Linked DNA regions of Pelodiscus sinensis. The protein of the gene in region 1 interacts with the protein of each later gene in a pairwise test. Links are inferred from orthologs where the notes say so. Each region holds a gene or a part of one and is shown on either strand. Other genes may lie near its edges.

Region 1 (15,796 bases):
AGAAGTGGGTTGTACTCACCAAAGCTCATGATACCATCCACATGTTTTGTTAGTCTTTAAGGTGCTGCCAGACAAGTCATTTTTTAAGTTTCTCTAGTTACAGACTAAATTGGCTACCCCTTTGAAGCCAAAAAGACTAGTTAAATGTGAATGTTACTTTGGAGATGAAGGACATTTTCTCAAAAAAAAAAAAACCAAACCCTGTGTGTATGTGTTGAAATAGTTAAGTAGAGAAAGAAGACTGAATTCGCATAGAAAATGCTGCTAGAAACCAACGACAGCAATGCTAAGCAAATTACCGCCATACTGTAAAAATGCTAATCTGTTTGGAAGTACTAAATCAGGGCCTGAAGGATAATGAAACCAACAGGGATGAACATCCATTTCAGTCAGCCTTGAAGAGAGCTGTTATCCCTTTAAAATGTTAACTGGTCAATCACATTACTGTGCAACCATTTCAGCTACTTTTACTAAGAAAAATGTATAACAAATAAAGCAAAGGGCAGTAAACATTTGTCATGCTTCACTGGGAACAAGCAAGCCTGTTACAGAAATGGGATTACTAAGAAACAGCGAAGTACTAGATCTAAGATGCTGCTGCTAGTTTTAGTACGAGAAAAATGGCTTTGTTTGTAGCACTTGCTACATTAAGGGGACAAGCAACATTCAGGTGGATTGTATCATGTGATACCTGTTTTCTGATATAGTGGAATAGATGAAAGAAGTAGTGTGGGATGAATTATTCAGATACTCAATAGAATATTTTAAAGAATAATAATAAATATAAAATATAAAATAAAAAGAAGATCTATTACAACGATTCCTCACTGACTGTATAAAAAGCTTAGTTTCCCCTCTATCTAGGAATTATAATTGTGCTCAGACCTGTGATCTATATAATCCAATATTCTTTGACAGTAGACATACTTTAAACACTTAAAAGTTGGGAGCAAGAATTTCTATAATGGATAATTAAGAAATAGCCTGTCTGTAGGGGGATATTCTTCCTGGTCCATGTAGAGTGAATCTGGAAGCACACAGGTTTATATCCCATATAACAATGTTTCAATTTTATCTAATGTAACTGTGAATATACATCCATAAAAATACCCAATCCTTTTCTAAACCCTTAGATATGAAGCTTTTGGCCCCAGTTATATGGTATGACAGTGAGGTCAATTATGTGTTTTTAAAAAGTATTTCTTTTTACTTGTTTTAAATGTGTTTACTTTCAATTTCATTCATTGTTTCCTTGTTTTTCTACAATGAGGATAACTATAAAATCACAGGGTTAGAAATGACTACAAGAGACGTATAGACTATCTCCTTCATCTAATCATCTAATGGTTTAATCTTCTCTGTATCATTAATTATTTTATATACTTCCGACATATCGCACATACTAATCTTTCCACACAATGCTTTCTTTTTAATCTCTCTTCATACCATACATTATGTCTCTTTTTTATTTCTAAAAGATCATATTTTACCATCAGATAAACGTCTCTCTCTTAATTACCTTAATGAGAAATGTGCTTTTGCAATTGAGGACAGAATTCTATTTTGCAAGTTAAATTCTGCTCTCAGTAACATGCTTGCAACTTCAGTTACTTTCAAGATATGTCTGTGATGCTACGCCTACATATTTTTATGGCGATGTGTTTTGAATATGAATATGCATAATTCAAATATGCTTTATGCAAAATTCATCATGTAATCTCTAGGGCTGCACCCAACCGCCACTCATCAGCTGTTTCCCCTTCTGTCAAAAGGAAACCTTCAGCTCATCTCCAGCAAGCTGTGGAGCAGAACCCCGCTTCACCTCTGGTCCACTCCCTGGACAAAGCTGGGAGAGAAGAGGAGAAGCGGCAGGTTTTGAAGGATTCACTAGAGCAGCTGGCTGGTGGGCACGCATGCAAGGGATAGCCAGATCCAGCAGATGAAGCAAGAATAAAGGGCTCTGGCAAGAGGAATTACCGCTCCGTTGGGGAGGGCGAATCAGTCCTGTGAGGCCCAGGAAGCTGCCTTGACTCCAGCTAGGGAGGGAACCATGGGCTATGCATGTCTGTGCTGCCCAGTGATTCATGATGCTCTGTGACCGCCCCCCTCCCTCAGCTCCCAGACCCCCACACTTTGACTGCTGAGCCGAAGCAGCCACTGGGACTGCATAGCAGCAGCATGGGAGAAGCTGAGGTGACTGGTTTCCTTCCAGTAAGGCTCTGCCTCCCCAGTTAAAGCCACTGCACACTTACTTGGTGTGTAGCATCTCAATTGTCTTTAGGGTGAAGAGGGCTAACTGCAGCCCCCCTCGATGCCCCAGAAGCACTGCTTTCCTCCCCTCCCCCCCACACCACCTGCAAGGATCTGCCTTCTCCTCAGTACCAACCAGAACTAGCAGGGCTCCCTTTGCACCAAGTGAACTGAAACTGGGCTAGGGAGAGGGAAGGCGAGTCTCCTATGATCCAATCCCCATGAACTCCCCATGCATTCACACCACTCCCTGCTTGCTCCTCTGTCAGTGTCCCCACTTCTAGCCCTGTTCCTGCCCCATCCCAGCCCTGGGCTTGTCCCCTAGCCCTTGAGATAGCTCTCCTGTGAAGTGGCCACCCTCCTCCTCTGTGGGCATGGTGCAGATGGTTGAGCGCTATAGGGCACTAGGAATTGTAAATAGCAGTCCTCAGGGTAGGAGGTATCTTTCCCCTGTCCCACCAACCACCAAACTGTTCTGGGAATGGGAGAGGGTGTCTCTTTCTCACCCCACCACTTTGCCCTGGCAGATAGTGAGATGGGGCTGAGAAGGAGGGGAATGTCTCCCTCTCCCCACCAGAGCAGCCCCCGAGCAGAGGCTGGGAAGGAGGGCAGTCTTTCTCCAGCAGTTAAAGCCCTGAAACAAAGGAAAGTTGCCTCTTTCTCTGGGATGTTAACATTTGTTTATTTTTGTAAATGTGTTACCACTTGAAAGCCAGCTTCCCATGTGTATCAGCTTCCACCTCCTTGCCCCCACCCCAGCACTTGGCTCTGCGGGAGCCGGTGTTTTCTGGGACCCAGCTTTTAAGCTGGCTTCCCTGTGAGCATTGGCTCCTGCGTCTCCCCCTGCGCTGCTGCCTCTGATACAGAGGCAGCAGTGGGGGGGAGGAGGCGAGGGGAGGTGGAGGGGAGGGAGAACTGCATATAACCATGAGGGTTAACCAATGAGCTCAGGCTGAGCACTATGTATACATACTGATATAATAGCAGTAAACAAGTTGGGTAATTGAAATAAGTAGACTATTGCATGACTCATATTGCTTGGAAGAATGTTTTGTATTTCAGTACTCACAAGGTCTTGCATATTCCTTGGTTGTATTAAGGGAATCATTGATCCCAAGATCATTGTGAACATCTAGTTTGGTCTCCTATACAACAGGCCATAGAACTTTTCAATAATCAATCCTAGAGCAAATCTTTTAGAAAACATCCAATATTGATTTTAAAATCAGTGATGTAGAATCTGCCTTTACTCTTGGAAAACTGTTTCAAAATTTTACACCTTATTTCCTGCCTGAATTTGTCTAGCTGCAACTTCCAGTAATAGGATAATTTAATACCTTCTCTATTATACTGAAGAGTGGATTTATTACCTATTTGTTTCCTCATGCAAGAAACTATCTACTAGGGGACAACAGTCATAGGTCAGCAGTACTTACATGAAAGACTTTGCACGTTAGTTATAATAGCATTAATGTACTATGATATGCATATAAAGTATAAACATATAGATACTGTTTCTTTTCTGTTCAAAGCATATACATTGTTATTTTAACCTAACATGACTAAACTCACTACCTGCATTTCTTAAATTCCTTGAGATGCCTATTAGTAATTATATAAATAATCATAATACACACACACAAATCCCCTGGCTCATACCATGAACTTGTCATTAAGAAGAAAATTCTTAATGTTTAATGCCTATTACTTTACCAAACCTACATTAATTCAAGAAATGATAGTACATTTGGATGTTGGTAGATCCTACTCCCAAGAATCCAGGATTTATGTACTGATTTGTGTGAATATAATCAAATGAAAACATTGTTGATTTTTCAACTATGACTTTGTGAAAGATGCTGGTCAGACAGCCCAAAGAGACTGAAGAATATGAATGCACAACAGCAATGCAAACTTTTCCAATAATATCCTTTCAATTTTCCCCAACTCTAATACCATCTTGAAGAGTAGGAAGGTTAATTCAGACTTCAAACCCCTAAGTGCTTAGCCTCTCTCTTAAAACTTCCAGTAAGGATGTAAATTAAACTGGTTTCTTTGTAAAATGGCTACCTGGCACCACACAATTTTTTGTCAGATAACAAATTGATAATATAACATACTTTTTGTCACTAGTGGCTTAAGTTGGCTTTGAATTTAGAAGATATGTTAGAAGTTAAAAGGCTTATAATTTAAAAAAATATTCAGGATCTCCTTATGCTCTCTGAAATCTAATGAGGTAATTTGTTGACTTCACTGACCTTTCATGAAAGCCAAAATGATTTACAAGAAAAAAAAATTTCTTTCACATTGCAAAGGTCATGGTAGCCCAGGAATATTTTGTTCAAAGCAGGATAAGATTACATATAAATCTTACAAATGTAAACAACCACTTAGTCATTAATAGTTGCCTTTAAGAGCATTTAACCATGCCAACCTGCATTAAAACTCTGATTTAAAAGTACTGTCCAGTGATGCCACAAGGTTTAATGGCTGAACACTTACCAACTGTGGCAGATGCTGTTGACAGCAGAGATTTGCCCCATGATCCCCATGCTCCCCATCCACTTCCTTTAGGAGAGGAGTCCAAATCCTACAGTAGGAAATATTCAGTTTCACCGTCAGAAATTTAAATTGCCCAAATACAGGAGAAAAAATATCCACTACTAGAAACCAGACTCCAGCATGTATTAAACAATGTAATTACATTTGTAATTCAACAGTACAGGTTGAATCTCCATGGTCTGGCACCCTCGGGACTGACCAGTCCCAAATGACAGAATTTGCTGGACCTGGGGCTGCCAGCATCTCCACTCCCCCTGCTTGCGCTCTACAGCAGCCTCCTAGGATGCTGGGGCTCAGCTGCATCTCTGCCCTCCCCCCCCAGGTCTGCAAGGGCTCTGCAGCTCAACTGCTCTGACCTGCTGGGATTCCACAGCTCAGCTGTCCCAGCCTGCAGGGGCTCTGCCCACCTGGGCTCAGCTCTTCCCTGGTCCAGTAATGTTCCTGGCCCCAGCCCAACTGGTTTTCATTCATGAGTGCTCCAGCCCCAAGTACCCATGGGATCACTGACAATGCTGGATCAGGGAAATCCAGATTACAGGGGTTCAACCTGTAATGCCATCAGGGATCTGTGGGAATAGAAACCCAAAGAAGATACTGTCTTATATTCAATGGTGGCGTTGCAGTGCTGCATTATTTTACTTTAAATTGAGGTTTCTGGTTAAAGTTTAAGCTTCTGTGGTAGGTGCAGAGAAGAGAGTAACTCTGGTGCAAAGGCCTACATTCCCTCTCTCAAGAAAATAAAGTGTAGCTAAAATTATTGTATTGCATTAGACTATTTTCAGTATTCCATATTTTAATAAGGCTAAAAAAATCAATTGTCTTATTAGAACTTCTATATCACTTCTTTGTAACCTAGCTTCAATATGTATTGAATCTCTGGACAGGAAAACAGGTTCCTTAGAAAAGGCACACGTCTTATGTGCATGACCCTCTTCACCCATATTCAAAGGGGAAGAATAAATTATTTCTTTCCTCCAGTCCTTGGCCTACAATTCCTTGTCTGTAATTTGATTAGAGATCCTTTCTGCTCACCATATTAAATGGAGAAGTTGCTGTGTCCTTATTGGACACGGATTCTATGCTGCTGACATGAAATAAAAAAAAAGAAATAACTTTTGCTTTTACAGGTGAAGCAAACACAGTATCCACAAGCAATAGTAATTGTGCCACTAACATAAGCAGTTCTGTGCACTCAGCTGAAGTAGAAAACAAAGATTCATGAACCTTCAGGAGCTAGGGTCGTTTTAATTTCAGTTTTTCATTATGGCTAGTTAATTATAATTTTAAAAGTAGTAGGTACTAATATAAACAAAACAATAGTAATAACTGAAACATCTCAAGATTTTGAGATGAGCTCTATGGAACATCAATAGAAATGTTGTCTGATAATTGTTAGACAGATGGTGAATTGTGGTTATGACTACCAATTAGCTAAGAAGAGCAAATACGGCTACTTTAGGTTAAAACATCTTCTTGTTTTTGAACTCATGTGTTTGTCCATCTGGCATATCTTATCTTTAAAGGCCCCCTATTCAGCAAAGCATTTGAATGTGCTTAAGTCTCACTGAACTCAATGGGACTTAAGCATGTGTCTAAATAGGGCTAGACTGGCCTTACCAGACTATCATCTCTTTGAGGCAAGGATACTGTTCTACAATGTGGGCCTAATCTGATTGAGGCTTCAGGTGCTAACAGAATGTAAATATGAAAACAAATACATCCTTAGGCTGAAAGGATATTGTATAGTTTGCAGTCAGATACCCAGAAGTCAGGAAGCACAAATTAATGGTTGCATATGTGACCCACTTCTGCCCACTTTTTGTCCATCCCATGCACTGAATGAACCGGGGTGTGAAGAAAATGAAGGATTATCATAGTACATACACACCAGGGGAGCAAATTCATGTCACATGGGCAAATTTGACTTTTCCTAACTGTTGAGTGCTTCACTGCAATCTAAACAGTGTTATTTTACCACAGATTTTTTGGCATGATTTCCTAGATTTTTGTAGAAAATTGCCCATGATTATTTCATAGCAAAATGCTAATGCAGCAAATCTATTATTTTTACAAAATATATTATTTTTACAGAATCCTGTTCTTTGCACAAAGTGGGGAAATATGCTTATGATTCTCTCATACAGAAAGCTAATTACCATAAAGGAAAGCTGTTCTGGAAGAAAAAGACAAGATTACTTACTGGACTGCTTTGTTCATTTGGTGTCACTTCTGATCCAGGTTCAGGATCAAGGCTCACAGACTCGCTGCAGTCAGTAGGCACGTTTTCAGTCACCTTTCTGCTGGAAGGCTGACTTGCAATTACTTCCATAGTCAAAGGATTTTCATTGATAGCCATGTCCCCTTCCTGTCCATTACTAGTATTATAAGAAACTTGTCTCTGTTCATCTTGGGAAGACCCATGCAAGATCCCAGGCATTTCACTATGTTCTGCTGTATCTTTAGCCGATTCATCACTACTAGGCATTGCCATTGTTTCAGGTTTTCCTTCAATGGGTACTGCGTCACTCATGTCATTAGACATTTTTTATTTCAACTTAAAAAAACCAAAGAGATGAGTATATTTATATGAACTAATCAAATCAATGTCAAATCTCACAAACACTTAAACGACACAAAGGCAGTGAAATATATATCCTGCCTTGCAATCACATTCAATCACATTGCAGATACACAGCATGCTAATAATGACACAGAAGACTACAGAAGTCTGTGTTGTAAATTAGCAGTGTTTCATTTACAGAAATCATCAAGGTTAGTTTGTGCAGGTTAGTTATAATCCTTGATCTTGGAGGACAGTATATACAGTCCATGTAATAAACACTGATTACCTTATCTAAAGAAATCTTGCTGATTTAAAACCCAACATAGACTTGTCCAAGACTTTTTATTTTCTTCATATTATAGACTAATAGACTTTAAGGCCAGATGGACCATTATGATCATCTACTTCAAGGGTCTCAAACTCCTGGCCTGTAGGCTATCCCTGTGCGGAGCGATTGCACAATCAAACCTAGAACTCCCAGTGGGCCGAGTGGGTCCTGTCTATTACTGGTCCCCACACCCCACTCCTTCCCATCATTGTCCCACCCTCTTTCCACCATCCCCCAAGGACGTGGCTTCAGAGATCACCGGGGGGGCCTGGCACCACGTGGTGGCAGGGGTTGCACCTCCCTGCACTCTCTGCAGTGGCAGGAGCCATTGGGGAAGCAGAACACACTGGGCAAGTGCACTCACTCTGCTTCCCCGTGGCTCCTGCTGCCATGGGAGGCCCAACTGCTGCTGCCATGCCATGCCCCGCAATAATCCCCAAAGTGGCATCCTTGGGGGACAGAGCACCATGGGATGGAGAGGCAGGGTGATGGCAGGAAGGGATGTGGCTTGGGGACCAGTAAAGCACGAGTTCCCCCCCAGTCCACCAAGAGTCTCTGGCTGGATTATGCAATCATTCTGGCCAGGGATGACCCATGGGCCGGGTGTTTGAGACCCTTGATTTAGTCTGACCTCTTGCACATTGCCAGCCACAGAACCTCACTCACCCTCTCCTACAGAAGGCCAACAGCCGTGGCCTGAGTTACTGAAATTCTCTCTGCTTGTTTAGCACTGGTTTCCCCGAGGTCCCTCCCATTATCTCACCAATGAGAGTGCAAGAAGAGCAGCTCTGTAACCCTTGCCATCTGGAATAATGTTTCCATTATCTGCCCTACATGCTATTCATTCTCTAATCTCATGCAAAAACAGAACATTTCTCTTCTACAGTCATTTTTAAACCATAACTTTATTATTGAACTCTGCAGAGAATTTTCAAGTATTGTTTGTATGAAGGCTGCTATAAAACAGCTCCCCTGGGCTGGCCGGGGACTATGCTGCCTGGCTGCCGGCTCCCTGGGTCTGGTTGGCGAAAGGGAAGCCATGCTGCCTAACAGGCAGCTCAGCAGCACAGGAATCTTACCCGTGTGAGTGGCCAGCAACATCTAGAGCCCTGTCCCCAGCTGGCCACTCTCCTACTGGCGCACCTGCGCCTCCAGTGGTCATTCTGCAGTACAACTATGGCTGCTAGCAGCCCCTTCCCATTGGCTGTGTCTAGACTGGCAAGCTTTTCCGCAAAATCATCTACTTTTGCGGAAAAACTTGCCAGCTGTCTACACTGGCCACTTGAATTTCCAGAAAAGCACTGACGATCTCATGTAAGATCGTCAGTGCTTTTCCAGAAATACTATGCTGCTCCCGTTCGGGCAAAAGTCTTTTCCAAAAGACTTTTGCGCAAAAGGGCCAGTGTAGACAGCACAGTACTGTTTTCCGCAAAAAAGTCCTGATCGCGAAAATGGCGATCGGGGCTTTTTTGCGGAAAACAGCGTCTGGATTGGCCACGGACGCTTTTCCGCAAAAAAGTGCTTTTGTGGAAAAGAATCCTGCCAATCTGGACGTGATTTTCCGAAAATGCTTTTAACGGAAAAGTTTTCCGTTAAAAGCATTTTCGGAATATCATGCCAGTGTAGACGTAGCCTTTGTGTTTTATGAACATAGGTCTTGGAAGACAGACAAAGGAGAACTGCTTTTCAGATACATTGGGCTTAATTCTTCTCCCACGCCTGTTTTACCCAAATGTAGGAGCATTAACTCCCATGGAGTTACTTCAGATTTACAACAGATTTACAACCAAATATGAACATATACCTATCAATTGTAGAATTTTAGTAGGTACATTCTTTATTTTAGACCCAAATTTACTTCTGTCCCACACAGATCTGGTGCTCTCTCATGTTCTAATTAAAGCAATAGAAATTTTTTACACACAATAAATAAGTGAGCCTCACATTCAAACTTTTTCTGGTATTTGAAGTTGGCTATACTACTTAGGAATGTAATTTATTTTAACTGTTGGTAACTCACACTTTGGGTTTCGACTACTTGAGTTCTATATAGATATATTTATAATGATTAAGGCTATACAAATAATCTGTTTGATATGATTAAGCAGAATTGACTAGACTGTGTTCTTGTTTACACAGGTATAAATTAGAGATGTAATAATAGTGTAGTCAATTAACCGATTAACCGATAAGCAAAAGCTTATGATAATGCTATAGAGTAGACTACTAGCATTTCTCTCCCCCATCCCACTGCCAGTAAATTTTTTAGCAGGCTGGCCAGCAGCCTGGCTCACTCTTGATTTGCACCGGGTCTGGGACCTACTCTGCTGCAGCTCTGCATTTAAAGTGTATTAGGAGCTGGGCAGGCAGGCAGCCCAGCTTGGTCCTGGCTCATGCCGGGTCTGGGACCTACCCCGCAATGTGGCTCTACCTTTGAAGTGTATTAGGAGCCACATGGGCAGGCAGCCAAGCTGTTTTGGCTCGTACCAGGTCTAGGAGCTCAGACATCTCCTATACAGGGGCTACTGCCACCCCATGCTGCTGCCTCTTTATCAGACACAACAGTACTGGGCAACAGGCAGCTAGTCTTCAAGGAGAGCTTGGCTCCTCACGAGTGAGGCCGGAGCACACTGGCTGTCAGCCCCACCCCAGGGAACTATAGACAGAATTCATGAGGTTACTCGACTAATCAATTAACTAATATTTAATCACCCTAGTATAAATCAGGAGTAATTTAAGAGTTAAACAGGTAGAAAACCAAAGAGGAGAGTTAATCTCTACATCCCTGAAGTTAAAACTTTCCCCTTCACTTTTCAATTAAAATTCTTTTTAACGTTAGCTCATTTTCAGTCCTTTATAGTCTCACAGGAAATAACAAAAATCATGTGATGATTGTATGTTAATGAAATTGCATGCATGTAGAAAAATATATAGGCAGATTGGAGTCTGATCCCATGAAATGAGTGAGATATGAGGGATCTAAGCAGCTTGAAAGAACCCATCCTGAGAAGTACAGAGGGCATCATTCATGTGGTTCCATTCTTTTTGCTCCAGAGAGTGTTTGTGGGGAACTGTTCATTTGTCCTAAAGAACTTCTTGTCAGAGCTGCCACAGAGATTTATTTTCATCTCCTTTTCTGTTAGAGGTAGATGTAACACCATTGAGGAAGAGAGCTGATTCGGGCTACAGTGCCATTGGCATGCAGAGGACATGATTTCATTTTCATCAGACCCAGAAGATAGAGTCTCAGAGCCAACTGATTAAGTGTTGCAGAGAATGCTGGAAAAAGCTTAATCTGAATGAAATAGTGGTGATGTTACTGCATTAGGTTGAGGAGAGAACTTGAGGGCAGGCAGGGCATGGCTTCAGGAGTCGTTACAATTTCAGCAGTCATTCACTACTGAGATGGCTCCACCATGATTTGTCCGAGATGTTTGCTATTTGAATGATGTTTTGAGACTTTTTACTTTCTCCTAGAACTTCAAGTGGTATGAGTGGCTCTCTATTCTGGAACTCGCATCTCCAGATGGTTAGGCAGAGCCCAGGTTTATTGGTTTTGATTGAGGGCACAGTATGCATGTTTGGGGCAGGCTAGGGATGTAAAATCTTGGTCAACTGGTTAAACATAATGTTTAACTGGTTAACTGATTAAAGGGGGAACAGGCAGGGAGTGTCCCCTTTCCACCTGCGCTGGAGTGGACCCTGATTGTGGTGTGCTTAGGCCCACCATGGGCAGAGGCTGCTTCAGGTAGGCTGCAGTGCCCCTGCCTGGGACGGGCCCCATGGAGCTGGAGCAGTCCCCTGCTCCTGGCAGGTGAGGAACTGCTCCAGCCCCACCAGTTAACTGGAACTGGTAAACATTACCGGTTAATGTTTCACATCCCTAGGGTAAGGTTGTCTTTTTTGCTTGTTAGACATTTAAATAGTATTTATTTTTCCTGTTTCCCCTTCAAGCCAATTAATTACTTTCCTCCTCCAAATTTTGCTCAGACTGAAAGAGAGAACAAATAACTGGCATAGGTTGTTTTTCAGTGGCACCTTTTAACTTGCACTTTTTACTTAAAAGGGTAACATGGGAGACAATTAACATTTCTGACTCTGGTTCTTTATAGATAAAGAGTGTTATCAATTCCTGAATGTAGTCTCTCTGCCTGATCCTGAAATGATTATGGCTGTGTTGACATTAGATCTCTTTTCTTAAAAGTTCAAACTATTGATTCCACAGGAGCAAAAGTAAGTGATGGGGCTAAGTGGCTACCAGCATTTTACTGTCATCTACCCCTGATATGAACAGGAATTATACAGGAGTTAGTGATGGAAAATGTTTAAAATAAATACATCCAGTGTAGAGAATTCCTATGCATGCTGTGCAGACTATACAATGAAAATGCAAGAGGGGACAGGAGTGGCTATTCAGCAATCACCTTAGCTGAGGAAGGAGTGGCAATGGCAGAGTCCAAAGGGAGTACTGTACAATGATCATTGTTATCTATTTGTTGAGCACCAACAGCATGCCTGGCACGGCATACAGAAGACATAATACCTGTCCCTAGGAGCTTTTAATCTTCACTTTGAATGGTCACTTAGAGTGTGTCCATACGGCTATTAAATACCTGTGGCTAGCCTGTGTTAGCTGATTTGGGGCTGTTTAATTGTGACCTACTGTACACATTTGGGGGAACCTTCCCTCATTACAAGGTCTCTGAGCCTGAATACATACACTGCAATTAAAACAGCCTCATGAGCCAAAGCCCCATGAACCCAAGTCAGCAGGCACAGACCACTCATTAGTTTTTAACTGCAATACAAACATACCCTTAGAACGCATGTTAATTATTTATGCTAATCAATCTGTTCCATCCTATATTCAGCGATGACACTCTGAGAATCTTTTCCAGACCTGAGGAAGAGCTCTGTATAGCTCGAACGCATGGCTCTTTCACCAACTAAGGATGTTAAATGGCGTTTAATCAGCTAATCGGCTAGTCGATGGAATTTCTATCAAGGGGCAGACACTGCAGAGCCGCAGCCAGGTTAGCTCCCAGCCCCAGGAGCTAACCCTACTGTGGCTCTACCTTTTAAATGTATCAAGAGCCGCCAGGCTCTTAATATATTTAAAAGGCTGAAGAGTAGCTGGGGGCAGAGGAGGGAGGAGGAGTGGGCATGAGCTGGGAATCAGCTGTCTCAGCTCATGCCCAGTCCCCCTCTCCACCAAGCTTTGTGCTTTTTAAATGTATTAAGAGTCACCAGGCTCTTAATACATTTAAAAGGGTGAAGCGCAATGGGGGGGACTGGGCATGAGCCAGGAACCAACTGATTCCCAGCTAGTACATGATCCCCCACTACACCTCTGCCTCCTTTTCTCCCCCCATGGAGATGCTGATGCGGGGAAGCTGGCTTTTACACTGGTCCCCCCACCACCCAGCAGCAGATCCTGCTCCCCCTCTTTCCTGCCTCTCTCTGAGCAAGAGCAGGGGAAGTGACTAGTTGACTCACTAGTCGACTATTCGATAAGTATATGATTATCAGATAGTCAACTAGTTGCTTACATCCCTGTCACCAACAGAACTTGGCCCAACAGAACAGGGGGTTTTTAAACTTGGGTTGCGGACAAACCAGGGAAAGCGACACTTCCTGCAGTTCCCCTTGGCTGGAAATGGCAAACTGTGACCAATGGGAGCTGTGAGACTTCATAGCTGCGGAGCTTTAGAGTAAACCATCGTTATGGGCCTACCAGGGGCTTTCACTGCTGGGTCCGCAACTCACGTTTGAAAATCCCGGTAATAGAAGATATTACCTCACCTACTTTTTCTCTCCAAAAGGATGTGGTTTATTAATGTTTGTGTTAAAATCCTCAGCCACAGCAAAACTGGAAGTGAAATATGGACAGAAAGGAAAATTTAAATGCTGTTCAGTGTATGTAGGAGTCTCAACAGTATTGTTTATCCAATTCACAATGTTGCATCTTTGGGGTAGGAACTTAGTATTTCTCTGTCTGTATTATCCCATTAATATAACTAAAAACAACTAGTAGTCCTGCAGCACCTGAGAGACTAACAAAAATATATAGTATCCTCTAAGGCCGTGGTCCCCAACATGGTGCCCGCGGATGCCATGGCATTTATGTGCACCCGCTTAGTGACAACCTCTAATCGTGTATTGCCGCTTGTGATGGGGCATTGCCACCCCGCACTCGGGGTCCCCCTGCTACCGTGCTGCTCGCGGTGCGAGGGGTCAGGTACCGGCTTTGTGCCGGCTGTTTGTGCACCGGGAGTCTAGCGCACTGCTTTAAAGAGCCGGGGAGCGCAAGCGGCAGGAGAGAAAAAGGGCAGACGATGCAAAATGGCACCGGAGCTATGCAAAAGGGAGCGGGGCACTGAAGAGCGACGGGGGTGATGTCCCTGGGACTGGGACGGGCAGCAGGGGATTTAAAAATGGCCAGGGGAGGTGCACAGGGGGAAGGAGGGAGGAAGTGAAAAGAAAGAGCTGGGCGGTCAAACGGGAGGAGGGAGAGGTAACATGAAAACTTTTGGAATCTGGTTGACCGAAAAAAGTTTCCTGCCTTAAAAAAATGTAGCATACAAAATAAAATCTTATTTCAGTTCCACTTATCTATGCGAAGTTCTGTTTTCAACAATGATCATCATAAAATCAAAATACAGATCTCGGCTTACAGATGCCCATCTTGACGATTGCTTATGAACGAGAATATCATCCTATTCTCCCAACTATGAAAAATTGGCTGAAGAAATGCAGTGCCAAAAATCACACTGACTTTATTAAAAAACCACACGAATTAATGATATGCGCTCACCAGCACTTAATGGAAAATAGGTATGATTAACTTGTGTTTAACTTTTTTCATATTTGTTTGTTTGTTTATTGAAATCCACATAAAAGTAACAATACAAAGAATATTTTTTAACTAAGTATAACTGTCTATCTATGTTAAAGTAAGAATAAGAAGTATTTTTGGACCAGAAGTTCAACAATGTTTTACTTTTTAAAAATAAATAAGATGAAAACTGTTTATGATATTTATTTTGTAAAAACTCCTTAATTTTTCTTACAGGTAGATAAAAAAGAGCAAATTCATATGGCAAGGTGAAAGAGTAATTGCTGAATAATTTAATTAATACCTTTTACATGTAAAATTACCTTTTTTATCTTATGGATTCATATATGATGTAATATTAAATATGATGTTTTTCATATTATTTAACGAACCAATACAAAATAAACCTTGAAAAAGTGTTGGCGCCCGCCACACTCTTCTGAAAACATGAATGTGCTATTGGCCACAAAAAGGTTGGGGACCACTGATCTAAGGTGCCACAGGACTACCCTATTGTTTTTAAAGTTACAGACTAACACAGCTACCCTCAGACTTATTATGACCCCTCTGCCATATTCCACTTACAGTCAGTGAACCATAAAACTCACAAGTGACAAGCACTTGATAACAAATAATTAAAATGATGTTCATATTGCAATTTAACTATCTTTGGAAAAACTAATTTACAACTCGCACTGTGATTTGCCATTATAAGTATGGCAGATACTACAAATGTTGACGTATGGATAAGTTCTGCCTAGGTTTTAATGGTGCTCACGGGCTAATGATTGTGGTGGCATTTCATGAAGACAAATAGTTTGTTCCTAGGTAGTGTTTGTCGTTTAACAAGGGATATTTACTTCCACTGAATTCAGTGGAACTTGTGTGTGTGTGTGTACATGATGGAATAATTTAGCACTATTAACTTAATTATGGGCCTCATCCAGCAAAGATTTATGTACACTTTTGAATTTGAGAAATACATACATCATCTTTACATGGTTGGATCCTATATTTGGTAATTCACCTAAGTTCATCATATGTGCAGTTTGTCAGTTAAACCCTTTCCCCAATGAGCTACCTAAGTATACAGCATTATACTAGATAATCGCTAAAAATAGCTTGCAGAATGAAAAGAAACAGCAATGAATATCCACGTTTCACTGCAGCATAATGTGTAATTCAGATGGTCATGTATATATTTCCTACCAAAAAGCATCCTACATTAATATTAAAACACAATTGAATTGGTTACCTC
Region 2 (15,860 bases), on another chromosome or scaffold:
TGCCCCCGTGCAATATGGACCCAGCCCCCCCCATTGCCCCCGTGCAATATGGACCCAGCCCCCCCCCATTGCCCCCGTGCAATATGGACCCAGCCCCCCCCACTACTCCGGTGCAATATGGACCCAGCCCCAATTCCCCTCCTGTGCAACAAGGGTCCAGCCCCCCCTAATTTCCCCCCCCAGTGCAGTATGGACCCAGCCCCCCCAATTCCCCCTCCCGGTGCAACATGGACCCGCCCTCAACCTCCCCCCCCCCCGCCGGGTGCAACATGGACCCGCCCCCCAACCTCCCCCCCGCCGGGTGCAACATGGACCCGCCCCCCATCTACCCCCCGGTGCAATATGGACGCGCCCCCCCCCATTACCCCCTATGGGGGCCGGGCTGGACCATCCCTCGGGGGGGGGGCCTCCGCGCCTGGGCAGCCTCCCGCGGCCGGGCGCGCCGCCATCCCATAATACCCGTGCGGGCGGGGGGGGCGGGGACCTACCTGGGGTCTCCCCTGCGGCCGCCTCGGCCTCGCCCCGCGCCGCGCGGCCCCCCCCCGGCGCGAACAAGGCGGCGGAGCATGGGCGGCGCAACCTACCCCGCAGCCCCTCGAAGCCCCGCCCACTCTCCCGGCTGCGGCCGCGAGCCCGGGGGCGGGGCCAGCTAGCAGGTTAGGCTGAGACCCCTTCCAGGAAGTCTCCGCAGAGAGGAGGGGTGGAGGGAGGCCTTGGCCCGGCTGGGGCTGCCCCGCGTGGTGCCTGACTGAAAATCTCCCTCATGGAATTAACCCCCCTGCGGCCTGCGGGATTTGGCCCCTCTCGCCCTCGCCCGGCAGCCCACGGGGGATTTTTTCCCCACACCCTTGTTTCAATCAGGCAGTGGGTCGGACACCTATAGGGGACAGGCTGGGGGGGGCATGCTGAGTGCATGGGGGGAGTTGTTACCCCCCCTTTAATGCAGTGGTGCCCCCTTCAGTGCCTGCTTAGGGAACAGGCTGCCCTCCCCAGCCCCTGAGCCAGGTTCACTAGTCCTGCCCATCCCGGTCAATAGCCATTGACAGACCTGGCCTGGGATGGAGTCGCGGTAGAGACGCAGCTTCAGCTACGTTCCTTGCGCCTCTTACGGCGAAGTATCTTAACTCGATTTATGGAGCTGTCCGCACTGTGGGAAGTCAGAGCCACTCTCCCCGACTTCCCTTATTCCTTGTGGAAGCAGGACTAAGACCTTCCCCAGACCTGCTCATTCAAACCCCAGAAGATTGACTGTGGCTTCTTTTTGTCTCCAAGTGTAGACATGGCTCTAGCTCTTTTTTTAACCCTGTTCAAGGCCTGGCCTTCACAATGGAATGGAAGCATCAGAAAGAGGTCGGCGCAGGGAGCTATTTTTGCAAATGAACACAGGAGACCTTTACTTTAACCCTCTAATTCCCACGTTGCAAAGCAGCACAGCGGTTTCAATCCAGGCTGTCATGATCTCAAAGGCTGGTCCACACTCAGAGTTGCTCTTGATTAGCTCCTGCCAACACTCTGGGTACGTCTAGACTACCGGGTTTTGTCGACAGAAGTTTTGTCGACAGTATCTGTCGACAAAACTTCTGTCGACAAAGAGCGTCCAGACACATTGAGTTCTGTCGACAAAGCAAGTTGCTTTGTCGACAGAGCCCTGTAGTCTAGACGCAACCCCACAGGCAATAACACCTTCTGTTGACAGAAGGTGTTATGCCTTGTAAAATGAGGTATACCAGCGTTGACAAAACTGCTGAGTTCTGTCGACGTTATGTCAACAGAACTCAGCGGCAGTGTAGACGCTGGTATAGTTTTGTTGACAAAAGTCCACTTTTGTCGACAAAACTCAGTAGTCTGGACACACCTTCTGAGGCTACGTCTAGACTATGGGGTTTTCCAGGATATTGGAGGTATCCAGGGAACACATCTGCTCTTCCACTTTTTTTGGCGGAAGAGCAGACATGCTCTTTCAGAAGCCCTGTCTTCCTCCTTCCACGAGGAAGAAGGGCTCTTCTGAAAGAGAAGGTTTTTCCAAAATTTTCCAAAACAGGTCAAATTTAGGAAAAGCCTCTTCCGACAAAACTATTGGAAAAAGGTATGCAAATTGCAAACCTTTTTCCAATAAAGCATTGTAGTCTAGACATAGCCTTAGTCTACATTGAGATGTTAATTTGGATTAAGGCAGGGTGTAAATTTAAAGTAGGACAGGTATTCTGAAAAAAAAATCTTTGTGCATATGGTTTTATTCTGTAGTTCACATTGTTAATCCAGACTGATTTTTTCAGAGTGCCTCTCAGTAATCAAGACTTTATTCCTAAATAAGAGGGCCCACATTGGGAGTTATTCTAAATTGTTCCATTTTTAATTCACATCCTGCCGTTGTCTGGATTGACATCCCCACATAGGCAACTCTTAAGTTGTCCACTTGTGAAGTCAGTCAATGAAACTACATGAGTACATGAACCCTCTGGCTCTGGCGTTCCTACCAGCATGGCTTTATGGGTCAAGGTTGTGAAGCAGCCTATGTCCTCACCCACAAAGATGGGCCAGCGACGCTCCTGTCTACACACAGCCGTACCAAGAACTGCTCTTCTATAGGTAGAATGATTTCACTTGGGGGAGATCTGGTCTATGCTTACCATTGAGACTGACAAGTTTCCCCAAGGGCTGTGGGTTTTTCTCCCACATAACTCTGTATTTTTGCAATATTAACACAGGACCCATTTACTTTAATCTTCTAATCCCCAATTTGCAAAGAGGCACAGTGGTTTAAATCCTGGTATTCACAATCACAAAGGCTGTTCTACACCCAGCTTTACTCTTGGTCAACTCCCGCTAGCACTCGCAGGGTGTGTCTACACAGCACTTATTTCAAAATAGAGTACTCTTCCTTGGACATCCCTTACTCCTCATACCATGAGGGTTACAGGAGTCGGAGTAAGAAGTCCTCCAGTTTGACTGTATATCGAAAGACCTGCCTGCTGTGTAGAGGTGGACTGTTATTTTAAAATAACATTGCTATGTAGACGTACCTTTAGTCTTGTCTACATTGAGACATGAATCTAGATTAAGGCTGGGTGAGTCTTCTACTGGTGCACACTGCATCTCCACCAGGTGACTTGCCTGTGTAGCCAGACTGGGTTCAGCTAGGCCAGACAAACTCTTCCGGTATAAACAAGGCAGTGACTGGAAGTGCCAGCAAACTAACGTTTTTTTCGTGGTAGCATAAGATGTGTTCACACTAGGAGAGGTCGCTGGCCCAGCGTTTCTAGTAGTGTAGATCCGGCCTCAAGATAGGCAGAAACCAGGCACTCTTCTCCTGGAACAAGCCCATGTGGTGTGAATCTGGACAATTCTGGGTGCGGATGGGCTTTAGGTGGGTTCTGGGCTCTGGGAGGTGTGAAGAAAGCTACAAGCAGTGAACTAAGAGCAGGTGGCGGCAGCTCCCCTCCAAGTCTGTGTGGATTTTACAGATGGGAGCAGGATTTGGCCAACAGCTGTGGTCAGTGTGGGGATACACCTCACTACGTCTAGTTCTGCCCCACCTTGCTCCCTACAGTGGCATGCTCGGCAGCACCAGTGCAAGGTAGGAACAAAGCTATTTGCCCTGGAGGGCTCAGAGGCTGCTTGCTTTGCTCCATTTCTGAGCTCACTGCCTGAAGGCAGAGCTATAGCCTCTGGTCACAAAGGAAACTGAGCCCCAGGGGGATTCAGATACAGCTGGATGAGTGACTGGTCACATTCATTCTCCCCAGAAAGATACCAGAAACATTAGCCTCTGTGACCCCTCTAACTCCCACTGTTACTCACTGCTGTGCTTCCCAGGGGCTTGTCTTGGCCAGCCTCCACCAGGCCATGGCTCACCTCTAGATGGCCCTGTGCACCTCCAAATTGCAAGGAAAAATACCCACAAAACCACTCCTGTCCAGATGTAACTTGTGTACTAAGCCCAGCAACTGGTGTTCAGCAAAAACATCCCTTACTGGGATTCTCAGCCCTTCCAGCTTGACTCTGAGTCCTGGAGCTGCTCAACACATTAGGTGACTTGGCAACAAACTGGCACATGGATTTTAATGTTGATAAATGCAAGATAATGCACATTGGAAAATATCATCCCAACTACATTTAGCTATAACCACTCCAGAGAGAGATCTTGAAGTCATTGTGGATAGTTCTCTGAAAACAGCCACTCAATGTGCAGCAGCAGTGAAAAAAGCAAACAGAGTATTAAAAATCAGAAAAAAAGAGACAAAGACAAAGAATGTCTTATTGCCTCTATATAAATCCATGGCACGCCTATATCTTGAATACTGCACACATATGTGGTCAGCTCATCTCAAAGATATTTTAGAATTGGAAAAAGTTCAGAAAAGGGTAACAAAAATGATCCGAGAACGGCTGCCATATGAGGAGAGGTTAATAAGACTGGGAGAGTTCAGCTTGGAAAAGAGGTGACTAAAGGAAATATGATGGAGGTTTAAAGGAAGTTTTTTCTTCACTCAGCACACAGTCAACCTGTGGAACTCCTTCCCAGAGGATGTTATGAAGGCTAGGACTTTAACAGGGTTCAAACAAGAGCTAGATAGATTCATGCAAGTTAGGTCCATCAATGCTATTAGCCAGGATGGGTAGGAATGGTGTCCCTAGCCTCTGTCTGGAAATGGATGACAGGAGAGGGATCATGAGATGTGATCACCTGTTGTGTTCCTTCCTTCTGGGGCATCTGGCATTGGCCACTGTTGGCAGACAGGATATTGGGCTAGATGGACCTTTGCTCTGACACAGTATGGCCGTTCTTATGTTCCAGGTCTATAAAATCATGACCCAGCGTGGAAAAAAATGAATTAAACAGGACTTTAAAAGAGTTCAAAATTCATTGAGGTTAAGTCTATCCATGGCTATTAGTCAGGGTGGGCAGAGAGGGTGCCTCTGGCCTCTGTTTGTCAGAGGTTGGGAATGGGTGACAGGGACGGGTCGCCTGATGATTCCGTTCTGTTCATTCCATGGGGCGCCTGGCACTGGCCACTGTGGGAAGATAGGATACTGGGCTAGATGGACCTGGTCTGACCCAGTACTTAACACATGTTCCTCCAAAAAAAGCATTTTAATCCGAGTTGTTTCCACAAAGCCACTTCCCACAGAAAAAAGATTGATGGGGCTTTTTAAACAAAGTCAAAAGAAAAAAAGTAAAACAAACAGTGGGGAAATGCCGCCTCTCTTCCTGTAGCCCCTCCCACTTAATTTCCTGGGGGGCAAGAGGCAGAGGATGGAACAGGAAGGAGGAATTCCCCTGCTCTTCTGAAACAAAAGCATTTGACAGTTTCAAAACTTTAATCCAGCACCCATGGGAAAAGGAACCAGAAAAAACTAGGGTTCCCCCCAACAAAACATGCTTTTTGATAGGAAAAGTTTCTCTCCCCCCACTCCTCAGAAATAGGGAAAAAAACAAACAAAACCAAACCAAAACACAAATCAAAACATTTGAATGAGTTCATAACTCCCAGATGTCTTCCCTGTGAGGCTGGACTTCTTCAGGCTGGTGCTGTCCTAAGACCTTGTCTACATGTAACAGATACATCAGGCGGGGTTTGAACAGTACGCCAGCAAAACCCCAGCAGCACTGACAGTGTTGGCACAGCTCATGTTGTCTGGCAAGGTCATGTTCCTCCACGAGCAGAAAAACTTCTGTAGGAGGCAGCAGATGCCTCTTACAGTTAGAGACAGGCTTGCAAGCTGGGTCCATCACTACCAAAGCCAGTGCACCACTTGAAACTGTCCCCTGCACTTATGAGCCAGGTCAGAAGTTTGCTTTGCAAAACGCTTCAAAAGACTACAAACAAGTATTGTTCCTTCAACATTTTAAAGTTTTAAAATGGCTTTTGTTACAAAATTCTAAACAAGTGTTTTTCCCACCAAAATGAAAGCGTTTGTAAACAAATCAAACATTGCTTAATTTTAAGAAGAATAGGATTTCCTGGGTTTTTCCTTTTCTCTGTTTATTGTAATTTTTCTCTCATTTTTTACCTCACTGGAAAAAAAAAAGAGAGGAAAGGCAGGCATCCAATAATGACTTTGTTTTGTTAAAATCTTTGCTCACTTTTCCAGTGGGAAAATGTGAACACATTAAAAACAAATGGGTTCTTCTCCTCACAGCCTCCAATTTAAACCCCTTTAAACTCCTTTTTCTCCTATAGAAAAATAAAAAATTGAAAGTGTGAATTTCCCCAAAATTGTCAGAAAAATTGCAAGATTTTTTCCTTCAAATATTTTACATAGTTAAATATTTCTGGGAAGGAGAAAAAATTCATATGTTACATATATATATAAATATATATAATTCTTAGCAAAACATTTTCGCCCCAAAGCTATGACCCCTGCCCTGGTGTTGCTATGCTATTAAAACCTATACAGCAGTAGCACACAAAGATCAGCTGGTTGGGACCTACGTGGTCCAAGTGACACAGAATACCCAAGTGTCTCCCCCGCTCAAGTGGCTTGCTGTCCACATGGGACACAAAGGGGGTGAATTTAAAACGGATCCATTAAACCAGATTAAATCCCTGCACGGAAGCTCTTGTTCAGGGTTCAAGCGGTGGTGATTCAGCTGATTTTCATTTACACCTAAAGGGAATAAAGCTAAACTGAATTCAACCACGCAGGAGTTTGATGCAGGTTAAAGAATCCACTTGAAAAGTGAACTCAGGTCTCATTTCCTAACCCGCCTAGCAGAACACAAGTCGCAGGTAGCCGCTGGCCATCACAGTCCTCCTGCTGCCTGCCCCCAGGGATGTCTTTAGGGAGCTTTCCCCAGAGCTGAGGTTGGGTGGTGGTAGTGGGTTTGGTTCCCTCTGGGCACCACGCTGAACCGTGCTGAGAAGAGGAGGGTTGGGGGTCTTTGCAACCCCCTTCCCTGACTGTTAAACGCTGCCCTAGCAGCAGAGGTGAGCATGCGCAACCTATGGCCCCGTCACCAGCATCTGGGCCTCTGTGTTGTCATCATGTTCACCCACCTGTCCCCCTGTGCCCGGAGACACACGGGCCAGATGCTCAGAGCTCTGTAAGGAGAATGGGGAACTCAGTACTTGAATCCGTCAAGATATTTAGAAAAGCTCAGTCCCACCCACCCAGGCAGACAAAGGAATACATCTTCCATCAGTGGGGTGATTAGGAGGGGGATGGGAGCCAGGAGTCCTGGGTTCTTTCTCCAGCTCTGGGACAGGAATAGGGAGGAGTGGGAAGGGGTCTAGTGGTTAGAGCAGGGAGGAGAGGGGGAAGCTGGGAGCCAGGACCCCTGGGTTCTTTCCCAAGCACGCGGGGAGCTGGGGGGTAGGGCCACAGTTCCCCTATAAGCAGAGATGCAGAGTGCGGGTTGCAGACACGTACATGTTTAATAGACGAGGAGCCAGAGAATGATACAGTTAAAAGGGGAGAGGCTCCTGGCCAGGAACACATAGGCAGCATGGGGGGGGGTCCGCAGTCAGGACCCCTCAGTCCCCAGGAAGGGAAGCCTTGGTGCGTCCTAGGCAGTCAGAGATGCAGCAGAAGCAAGAAGGCACTGACAGGGGGAGACTCCAGACCCATCTTGGCCCCTGCCCCCCCAGCTTACAGGGAGGAATGTTTAGGGGCAGGATCTTTAACTGCCCCCCAGGCATGATCCAGGAGGCATCGGGTCCTTGCTCCCCTCCATGGGGTCAGGACAGGAGATCTCCCCACTTCCGCTGGGAGCCAACTTCCTCACCAGGGCTGCGGGCTGGTCTCACCCCGCGGGAGCAGAGGGTGAGTCAGGGGCTCTGACAACACCAGAGGGCACTGCGGGGCGCCTAGCAGCAGCCTGAGCTGTCTCCAGAGCCCTGGGGGCTGTGACGGGTGCCGGCGCCAGGAGCTATGCCCGACGGTTGCTGTGGCCCAATCTTGATCCCATTTGCCTAGAAGAGAGAGGGAAGGTTACGCAAGGGAAGACCCTGCCCCAGAGCCCCACAACCGCTCCCCCCTTAATGAGACCCTGGGGTTGGGAATGGGACCCAGGCATTCAAGATAGCAGCATGGGGCACTCACCCCTGTGCCTGGGAGATGCAGGGGAAGCCCAGGTGTTCGGGATGGCCCTGCAGGCCCGGGGGTGGGGTGGGAGCGGAGGGGACGAGCAATGGCCCTACAGGCCCCGGGAGGGGGACAAGCAATGGGATGTAGGTGACCGGGATGGTCCTACAGGCCCTGAGGTGGTGGGGGGAGGGATGAGCAATGGGACCTAGATGTCCAGGATGGCCCTACAGGCCCTGGGAGGGGGATGAGCAATGGGACCTAGATGTCCAGGATGGTCCTACAGGCCCTGGGAGGGGGATGAGCAATGGGACCTAGATGTCCAGGATGGTCCTACAGGCCCTGGAAGGGGGATGAGCAATGGGACCTAGATGTGCAGGATGGCCCTACAGGCCCTGGGAGGGGGATGAGCAATGGGACCTAGATGTCCAGGATGGCCCTACAGGCCCTGGGAGGGGGATGAGCAATGGGACCTAGATGTCCAGGATGGCCCTACAGGCCCTGGGAGGGGGATGAGCAATGGGACCTAGATGTCCAGGATGGCCCTACAGGCCCTGGGAGGGGGATGAGCAATGGGACCTAGATGTCCAGGATGGCCCTACAGGCCCTGGGAGTGGGATGAGCAATGGGACCCAGGCAGGGCGGGCAGCTTTGGCTCACCTCGTTGTTGACGTCAAAGAGCCCCTGTTGGATCTTCCTGTAGATTTCCTTGGCTGTGTCAATGAAGGCCTAAAATCCCAACACACGTGGGGCTGAAACGAGGCAAGTCTGGGAAACTCCCTCCTCCCTCCCATATAACGGGGTCCCATGCATCACCCCATCTGTGAGGGAAACACTAGGTGAACCTGGGATTGGAGGGATGCATGGGCAGGGTAGGAGGGGTGACGCCAGGGCACCGCCATGCCACTGGCAGCGACAGAGGGTGCAGGAAGAGGAAGGAGATAGGGGAGCAGGGGAAGGGACACAGGGAGATCAGGTGGGAAGCAGACAGGCAGGTGGCAGGGAAGGGCAGTCCCAGGCCACAACCTCAGCCCCTCCCTTTCTCCCAGTCACCTCTTCCACGTTGGTGGATGTCTTGGCCGAAGTCTCCATGAAGACCAGCCCATGTTCCCGTGCGAAGGCCTCGCCCTCCGCTTTCTGCACGTCCCGCCGAGATTCCAGGTCGCTACGGGGACACGAGGGGCGGGGGTGAGCGCGGCTGGGCAGGGGTCCTGCTCCACTGACTCCCTGGGTCCTCTGTGCTTCACCCTGGATCCCTGCATGCCCCAGAGAATCCCCCCATGGTGAGACGCCTTCCCATCCTACCCCACAGGTGTCCCCCATCTGGCTGCTCTCCCAGCTCCTCGACAGCCCGAATCCGCCCCTCCCTGCCAAGTGGATCCCAGCCCCCTTGCCTCCGGCTACCTCTTGTTGCCAATGAGCATGATGACCATGTTGGAGCTGGAATGCTGCCGAGCGTCCTCCAGCCAGGTGGTCAGGTGGTTAAAGGTCTCCCGCCTGTGGGGCATAAGAACGGCCACATGGGGTCAGAGCAAAAGTCCATCGAGCCCAGTGTCACAACAGGTAATCGTCACATGATCTCTCCCGTCACCCACCTCCAGAGGCTAGGGCCACCATTCCTACCCATCCTGGCACAGAGGGGGCTGGGAGGTCCCCAGGCTCCAAGCATGTCAGTGGGAGGTATGGCGGGTGGGGCAGGCCTTACCTAGTGATGTCATAGACCAGCAGTGCCCCGGCCGCACCACGGTAGTATGAGCGGGTGATGGAACGAAACGACTCCTGCCCAGCCTGGACAGGAGAGGAGGGATGTTGAGTACAGCAGCTCCCCTGATTTGACTTCGCCCCAGGGTATGGCTCCCCCTGCCCCATGGCTCTGCCCAGGCCCACAGCTCTCCACTGGGGCCTGGCTCAGTTCCTCCATCCTACCATTCCCCCAGCCCACATCTGGCTTGCCCAGCCCCCTAGTCCCCTCATCACCCCCAAGTCAGCCCCCTGCATCCTGAAGCTCCATTAGACCCCACAGGCCAGCACATCTGAGTAACCGCCCCCCACAGCTCCATCTCCCAATCTATATCCCAGCCCCAATATTCCCGCTGTCCCAATTGCCGCCCCGAGCCCTACTGCCCACCCCTCGTCTCACCGTGTCCCAGATCTGCAGCTTGATCTGTTTGCTGTCAATGTTGATCATCCGAGCCCCAAACTCCACACCTGGCAAAAAGAGGCAAAGAGCAGAAACCTTCTAGGAAGACCCAATGGGACAGCCCCAGTGCACCCTGGCCAACACAAGTGCTCTGCCGGTGCCCCTCATTCCTGCCCTGCAGCCCCTGCCTCCCGCCTGCATTCCCGGCTCACAGCCCCTGTCCCCCAGCCCTGCCAGTGCCCCTCGTTCCCCACCCACGGCCCCTGCCAGCCCAGCCCTGCTCTCACCAATGGTCAGGTCGTGGACGGGCTGGAAGCGCTTGTCTGTGAACTGCAGCAGGAGGCAGGATTTCCCCACCCCTGGGGAGAGAGACTGTCAGTATCCCTCCTGTTCCCCGCCCACGGCCCCCGCCCCCTCCCCACAGCCCCGTCCCCTGCCCCTCCCCCACAGGCCCCCGTTCCCTGCCCCTCCCCCACAGCCCCCCGTTCCCCCACAGCCCCCGTCCCCTGCCCCTCCCCCACAGCCCCCCGTTCCCTCACAGCCCCCGTCCTCAGCCCCTCCCCCACAGCCCCCGTCCCCTGCCCCTCCCCCACAGCCCCCCGTTCCCCCACAGCCCCCGTCCCCTGCCCCTCCCCCACAGCCCCCCCGTCCCCCACAGCCCCCGTCCCCTGCCCCTCGCCCACAGCCCCCCGTTCCCTGCCCCTCCCCCACAGCCCCCGTTCCCCCACAGCCCCCGTCCCCTGCCCCTCCCCCACAGCCCCCCGTTCCCTGCCCCTCCCCCACAGCCCCCCGTTCCCCCACAGCCCCCGTCCCCTGCCCCTCCCCCACAGCCCCCCCGGTCCCCCACAGCCCCCGTCCCCTGCCCCTCCCCCACAGCCCCCCGTTCCCTCACAGCCCCCGTCCTCAGCCCCTCCCCCACAGCCCCCGTCCTCAGCCCCTCCCCCACAGCCCCCCGTTCCCCCACAGCCCCCGTCCCCTGCCCCTCCCCCACAGCCCCCCCGGTCCCCCACAGCCCCCGTCCCCTGCCCCTCCCCCACAGCCCCCCCGGTCCCCCACAGCCCCCGTCCCCTGCCCCTCCCCCACAGCCCCCCCGGTCCCCCACAGCCCCCGTCCCCTGCCCCTCCCCCACAGCCCCCCCCGGTCCCCCACAGTCCCCGTCCCCTGCCCCTCCCCCACAGCCCCCCGTTCCCCCACAGCCCCCGTCCCCTGCCCCTCCCCCACAGCCCCCCGTTCCCCCACAGCCCCCGTCCCCTGCCCCTCCCCCACAGCCCCCGCGGCCCGGCCCGGTACCGGTGTCCCCGATGATGATGTACTTGAAGAGGTAGGCATAAGACATGATGCCACAAGCGGGTCCGCCAAAGGTCTCTCTAGCCCCACCCCGTGCCGGACTCCACTGCTCTACTTCCGGTGCCGCTCTGCCCGCACCCTATGCCTTCTTCGCTGCTCTACTTCCGGCAAGAGGAGCCGCTCTATGCCTAGCACGCCGCTTACTCTATGGTGCAGTTAATGTGGCGCGCTAGCCTCCACCCTTTGTCAACTCCATGGTTCCACTTCCGGTCGCGCTAGCCTCCACCCTTTGTCAACTCTATGGCGCCACTTCCGGTCGCGCTAGCCTCCACACTTTGTCAACTCTATGGCGCCACTTCCGGTCGCGCTAGCCTCCACCCTTTGTCAACTCCATGGTTCCACTTCCGGTCGCGCTAGCCTTTACCCCTTCTCAACTCTATGGCGCCACTTCCGGTGCCGCTCTGTCTCGTGACCAGGCCCGTCTCTACTGTTCTCTTTCCGGCACCCCTCCAGCCCCTCCTTGGCAACCGGGTCGCGGGCCCGTCTCCAGGGCCGCGCCACTTGCGGCCGGCACCGGAAGTGACGCCACACACCGGAGACGGGGGGCGATTTCCGGTTCCGGGCAAGGACTCGGAGGGTCGGGTCGGGTCGCTCAGTCGCGGAGGCGGCCACTGGGACCATGGAGGTGAGAGGGGGCGGGGCTGGGAGGGGGCTGGGTTTGTGGGGGTGGGGGATTTGGCGGCTGGGCTAGGTGGGGGCTGTGGGGCTGGGTTTGTGGGGGGTGGGGGATTTGGCGGCTGGGCTAGGTGGGGGCTGTGGGGCTGGGTTTGTGGGGGGTGGGGGGATTTGGCGGCTGGGCTAGGTGGGGGCTGTGGGGCTGGGTGTGTGGGGGGTGGGGGGATTTGGCGGCTGGGCTAGGTGGGGCTGTGGGGCTGGGTTTGTGGGGGGTGGGGGGATTTGGCGGCTGGGCTAGGTGGGGGCTGTGGGGCTGGGTTTGTGGGGGGTGGGGGGATTTGGCGGCTGGGCTAGGTGGGGGCTGTGGGGCTGGGTTTGTGGGGGGTGGGGGGATTTGGCGGCTGGGCTAGGTGGGGCTGGGTGTGTGGGGGGTGGGGGGATTTGGCGGCTGGGCTAGGTGGGGGCTGTGGGGCTGGGTTTGTGGGGGGTGGGGGGATTTGGCGGCTGGGCTAGGTGGGGGCTGTGGGGCTGGGTTTGTGGGGGGTGGGGGGATTTGGCGGCTGGGCTAGGTGGGGGCTGTGGGGCTGGGTTTGTGGGGGGTGGGGGGATTTGGCGGCTGGGCTAGGTGGGGCTGTGGGGCTGGGTGTGTGGGGGGTGGGGGGATTTGGCGGCTGGGCTAGGTGGGGCTGTGGGGCTGGGTTTGTGGGGGGTGGGGGGATTTGGCGGCTGGGCTAGGTGGGGGCTGTGGGGCTGGGTTTGTGGGGGGTGGGGGGATTTGGCGGCTGGGCTAGGTGGGGGCTGTGGGGCTGGGTTTGTGGGGGGTGGGGGGATTTGGCGGCTGGGCTAGGTGGGGGCTGTGGGGCTGGGTTTGTGGGGGGTGGGGGATTTGGCGGCTGGGCTAGGTGGGGGCTGTGGGGCTGGGTTTGTGGGGGGTGGGGGGATTTGGCGGCTGGGCTAGGTGGGGGCTGTGGGGCTGGGTTTGTGGGGGGTGGGGGGATTTGGCGGCTGGGCTAGGTGGGGCTGGGTGTGTGGGGGGTGGGGGGATTTGGCGGCTGGGCTAGGTGGGGGCTGTGGGGCTGGGTTTGTGGGGGTGGGGGGATTTGGCGGCTGGGCTAGGTGGGGGCTGTGGGGCTGGGTTTGTGGGGGGTGGGGGATTTGGCGGCTGGGCTAGGTGGGGCTGTGGGGCTGGGAGGGGGTGGGGGGATTTGGCGGCTGGGCTAGGTGGGGCTGGGTGTGTGGGGGGTGGGGGGATTTGGCGGCTGGGCTAGGTGGGGGCTGTGGGGCTGGGTTTGTGGGGGGTGGGGGGATTTGGCGGCTGGGCTAGGTGGGGGCTGTGGGGCTGGGTTTGTGGGGGGTGGGGGGATTTGGCGGCTGGGCTAGGTGGGGCTGTGGGGCTGGGTTTGTGGGGGGTGGGGGGATTTGGCGGCTGGGCTAGGTGGGGGCTGTGGGGCTGGGTTTGTGGGGGGTGGGGGGATTTGGCGGCTGGGCTAGGTGGGGGCTGTGGGGCTGGGTTTGTGGGGGGTGGGGGGATTTGGCGGCTGGGCTAGGTGGGGGCTGTGGGGCTGGGTTTGTGGGGGTGGGGGGATTTGGCGGCTGGGCTAGGTGGGGGCTGTGGGGCTGGGTTTGTGGGGGGTGGGGGATTTGGCGGCTGGGCTAGGTGGGGGCTGTGGGGCTGGGTTTGTGGGGGTGGGGGGATTTGGCGGCTGGGCTAGGTGGGGGCTGTGGGGCTGGGTTTGTGGGGGGTGGGGGGATTTGGCGGCTGGGCTAGGTGGGGGCTGTGGGGCTGGGTTTGTGGGGGGTGGGGGGATTTGGCGGCTGGGCTAGGTGGGGGCTGTGGGGCTGGGTTTGTGGGGGGTGGGGGGATTTGGCGGCTGGGCTAGGTGGGGGCTGTGGGGCTGGGTTTGTGGGGGGTGGGGGATTTGGCGGCTGGGCTAGGTGGGGGCTGTGGGGCTGGGTTTGTGGGGGGTGGGGGGATTTGGCGGCTGGGCTAGGTGGGGGCTGTGGGGCTGGGTTTGTGGGGGGTGGGGGGATTTGGCGGCTGGGCTAGGTGGGGGCTGTGGGGCTGGGTTTGTGGGGGGTGGGGGATTTGGCGGCTGGGCTAGGTGGGGGCTGTGGGGCTGGGTTTGTGGGGGTGGGGGGATTTGGCGGCTGGGCTAGGTGGGGGCTGTGGGGCTGGGTTTGTGGGGGGTGGGGGGATTTGGCGGCTGGGCTAGGTGGGGCTGGGTGTGTGGGGGGTGGGGGGATTTGGCGGCTGGGCTAGGTGGGGGCTGTGGGGCTGGGTTTGTGGGGGGTGGGGGGATTTGGCGGCTGGGCTAGGTGGGGGCTGTGGGGCTGGGTTTGTGGGGGGTGGGGGGATTTGGCGGCTGGGCTAGGTGGGGGCTGTGGGGCTGGGTTTGTGGGGGGTGGGGGATTTGGCGGCTGGGCTAGGTGGGGGCTGTGGGGCTGGGTTTGTGGGGGGTGGGGGGATTTGGCGGCTGGGCTAGGTGGGGGCTGTGGGGCTGGGTTTGTGGGGGGTGGGGGGATTTGGCGGCTGGGCTAGGTGGGGGCTGTGGGGCTGGGTTTGTGGGGGGTGGGGGATTTGGCGGCTGGGCTAGGTGGGGCTGTGGGGCTGGGTTTGTGGGGGGTGGGGGGATTTGGCGGCTGGGCTAGGTGGGGGCTGTGGGGCTGGATTTGTGGGGGGTGGGGGGATTTGGCGGGTGAGCTAGGTGGGTAGTGGGGGGCTGGGGTGAAGTCAGCAGCTCAGCTGTGTCCTGCCCGTAGTGCCCCCCCCCTGGGAGCCAGCCCTTCTGCCCTCCAGAGGTGTGTTGGCTGCGGCGGCCAGTCGGGCTCTGGCACCGGCCTGATTGCTCCAGCGGACGCTGTGTCTCTCGAAGCGGCGGCGCCGTATACGGGTGCAGCGCTGCCCGCTCCAGAGCCCAGCGCCGGTCTGGACGAGGCCTGATGCCCAGGTAGTGAAGGGGCTGCGTCTCAACCCACGGGCCCTCCTGCCTTTCTCTGGGGACGCGAATCCCACCCCTGCCTGCCAATGGTGTCAAACTGGTTTGGTTGGTTTGACTCGCACTTGGAATCTTCCCGGCGCTGGATGCTGGTTTCGGTGTCCACTTACTGCTCACACCAGCCTGACTGAAATGTAAGACACCTTTGAGGGGCAAAGAACCCGTGAGCCAGGCCTTGTCCACACTTCAAGGGATGTCCGTATGTCACCGACTCGCTGTTTAACCAATAAGCATCACCTTGTCGGTTAATGGTGTCAGTGACACTCAGCCAGTCCTTGAGGGGCGGCTTTGCTGCGGGTAACTGTGTAATCAGTAGTTATATGGTTACCTACTTAGCCGACTCTTAACATCCCTACTTACACGTGGTGGTGTGAAAGTCACGCCGAAAGCTCCCTCCCCCTACATCTCCTTTTCTGTCTCCTGTAGTTCCCTGGAGGAAACGACAACTACCTAGCCATCACGGGGGCGGCCCACCCCTTCCTGTCGGGGGCGGAGGTGAGAGGTGCTGAGGCCAGGAGTGGAAAACGGGAGATGGATTTGGGAAGGGGGCCGAGCAGAGCCCATGGATGGAGGCTGGAGCTGGCCCATGGGAGATACGGGCTCACCTGGAACTGAGCAAGGAGCAGAGGCAGCTAGAGGAACCCAAGATGTTCTGTTGCCTGAGGGGGCTGTGGCTTGGCCAGCATGGAGCGTGTCTCTGGCCAGGCTAGGGTGGAAGAGGCTGCCTGCCATCA

The links.
Region 2: the proteins of FAM114A1 (region 1) and RAB2B interact in binary tests that used the Homo sapiens proteins (3 or more experiments, as listed by UniProt). The two-hybrid records come from large-scale screens. The link is inferred for Pelodiscus sinensis from reciprocal best matches to the Homo sapiens genes FAM114A1 and RAB2B.

The regions. Positions count from the first base shown.
Region 1 is NC_134715.1:93,498,376-93,514,171, forward strand, and holds the start of FAM114A1 (protein NOXP20), read right to left. Parts: upstream 7,355-15,796; coding exon 7,013-7,354; exon of another isoform or gene 4,841-7,012; coding exon 4,753-4,840; exon of another isoform or gene 1,773-4,752; intron 1,755-1,772; exon of another isoform or gene 1-1,754. UniProt on the Homo sapiens protein: May play a role in neuronal cell development.
Region 2 is NC_134740.1:773,457-789,316, reverse strand, and holds RAB2B (ras-related protein Rab-2B), read right to left. Parts: upstream 11,691-15,860; 5' UTR 11,505-11,690; coding exon 11,459-11,504; intron 10,528-11,458; coding exon 10,456-10,527; intron 10,237-10,455; coding exon 10,169-10,236; intron 9,817-10,168; coding exon 9,734-9,816; intron 9,526-9,733; coding exon 9,433-9,525; intron 9,194-9,432; coding exon 9,082-9,193; intron 8,758-9,081; coding exon 8,689-8,757; intron 7,917-8,688; coding exon 7,812-7,916; 3' UTR 7,361-7,811; downstream 1-7,360. UniProt on the Homo sapiens protein: The small GTPases Rab are key regulators of intracellular membrane trafficking, from the formation of transport vesicles to their fusion with membranes. Rabs cycle between active GTP-bound and inactive GDP-bound states.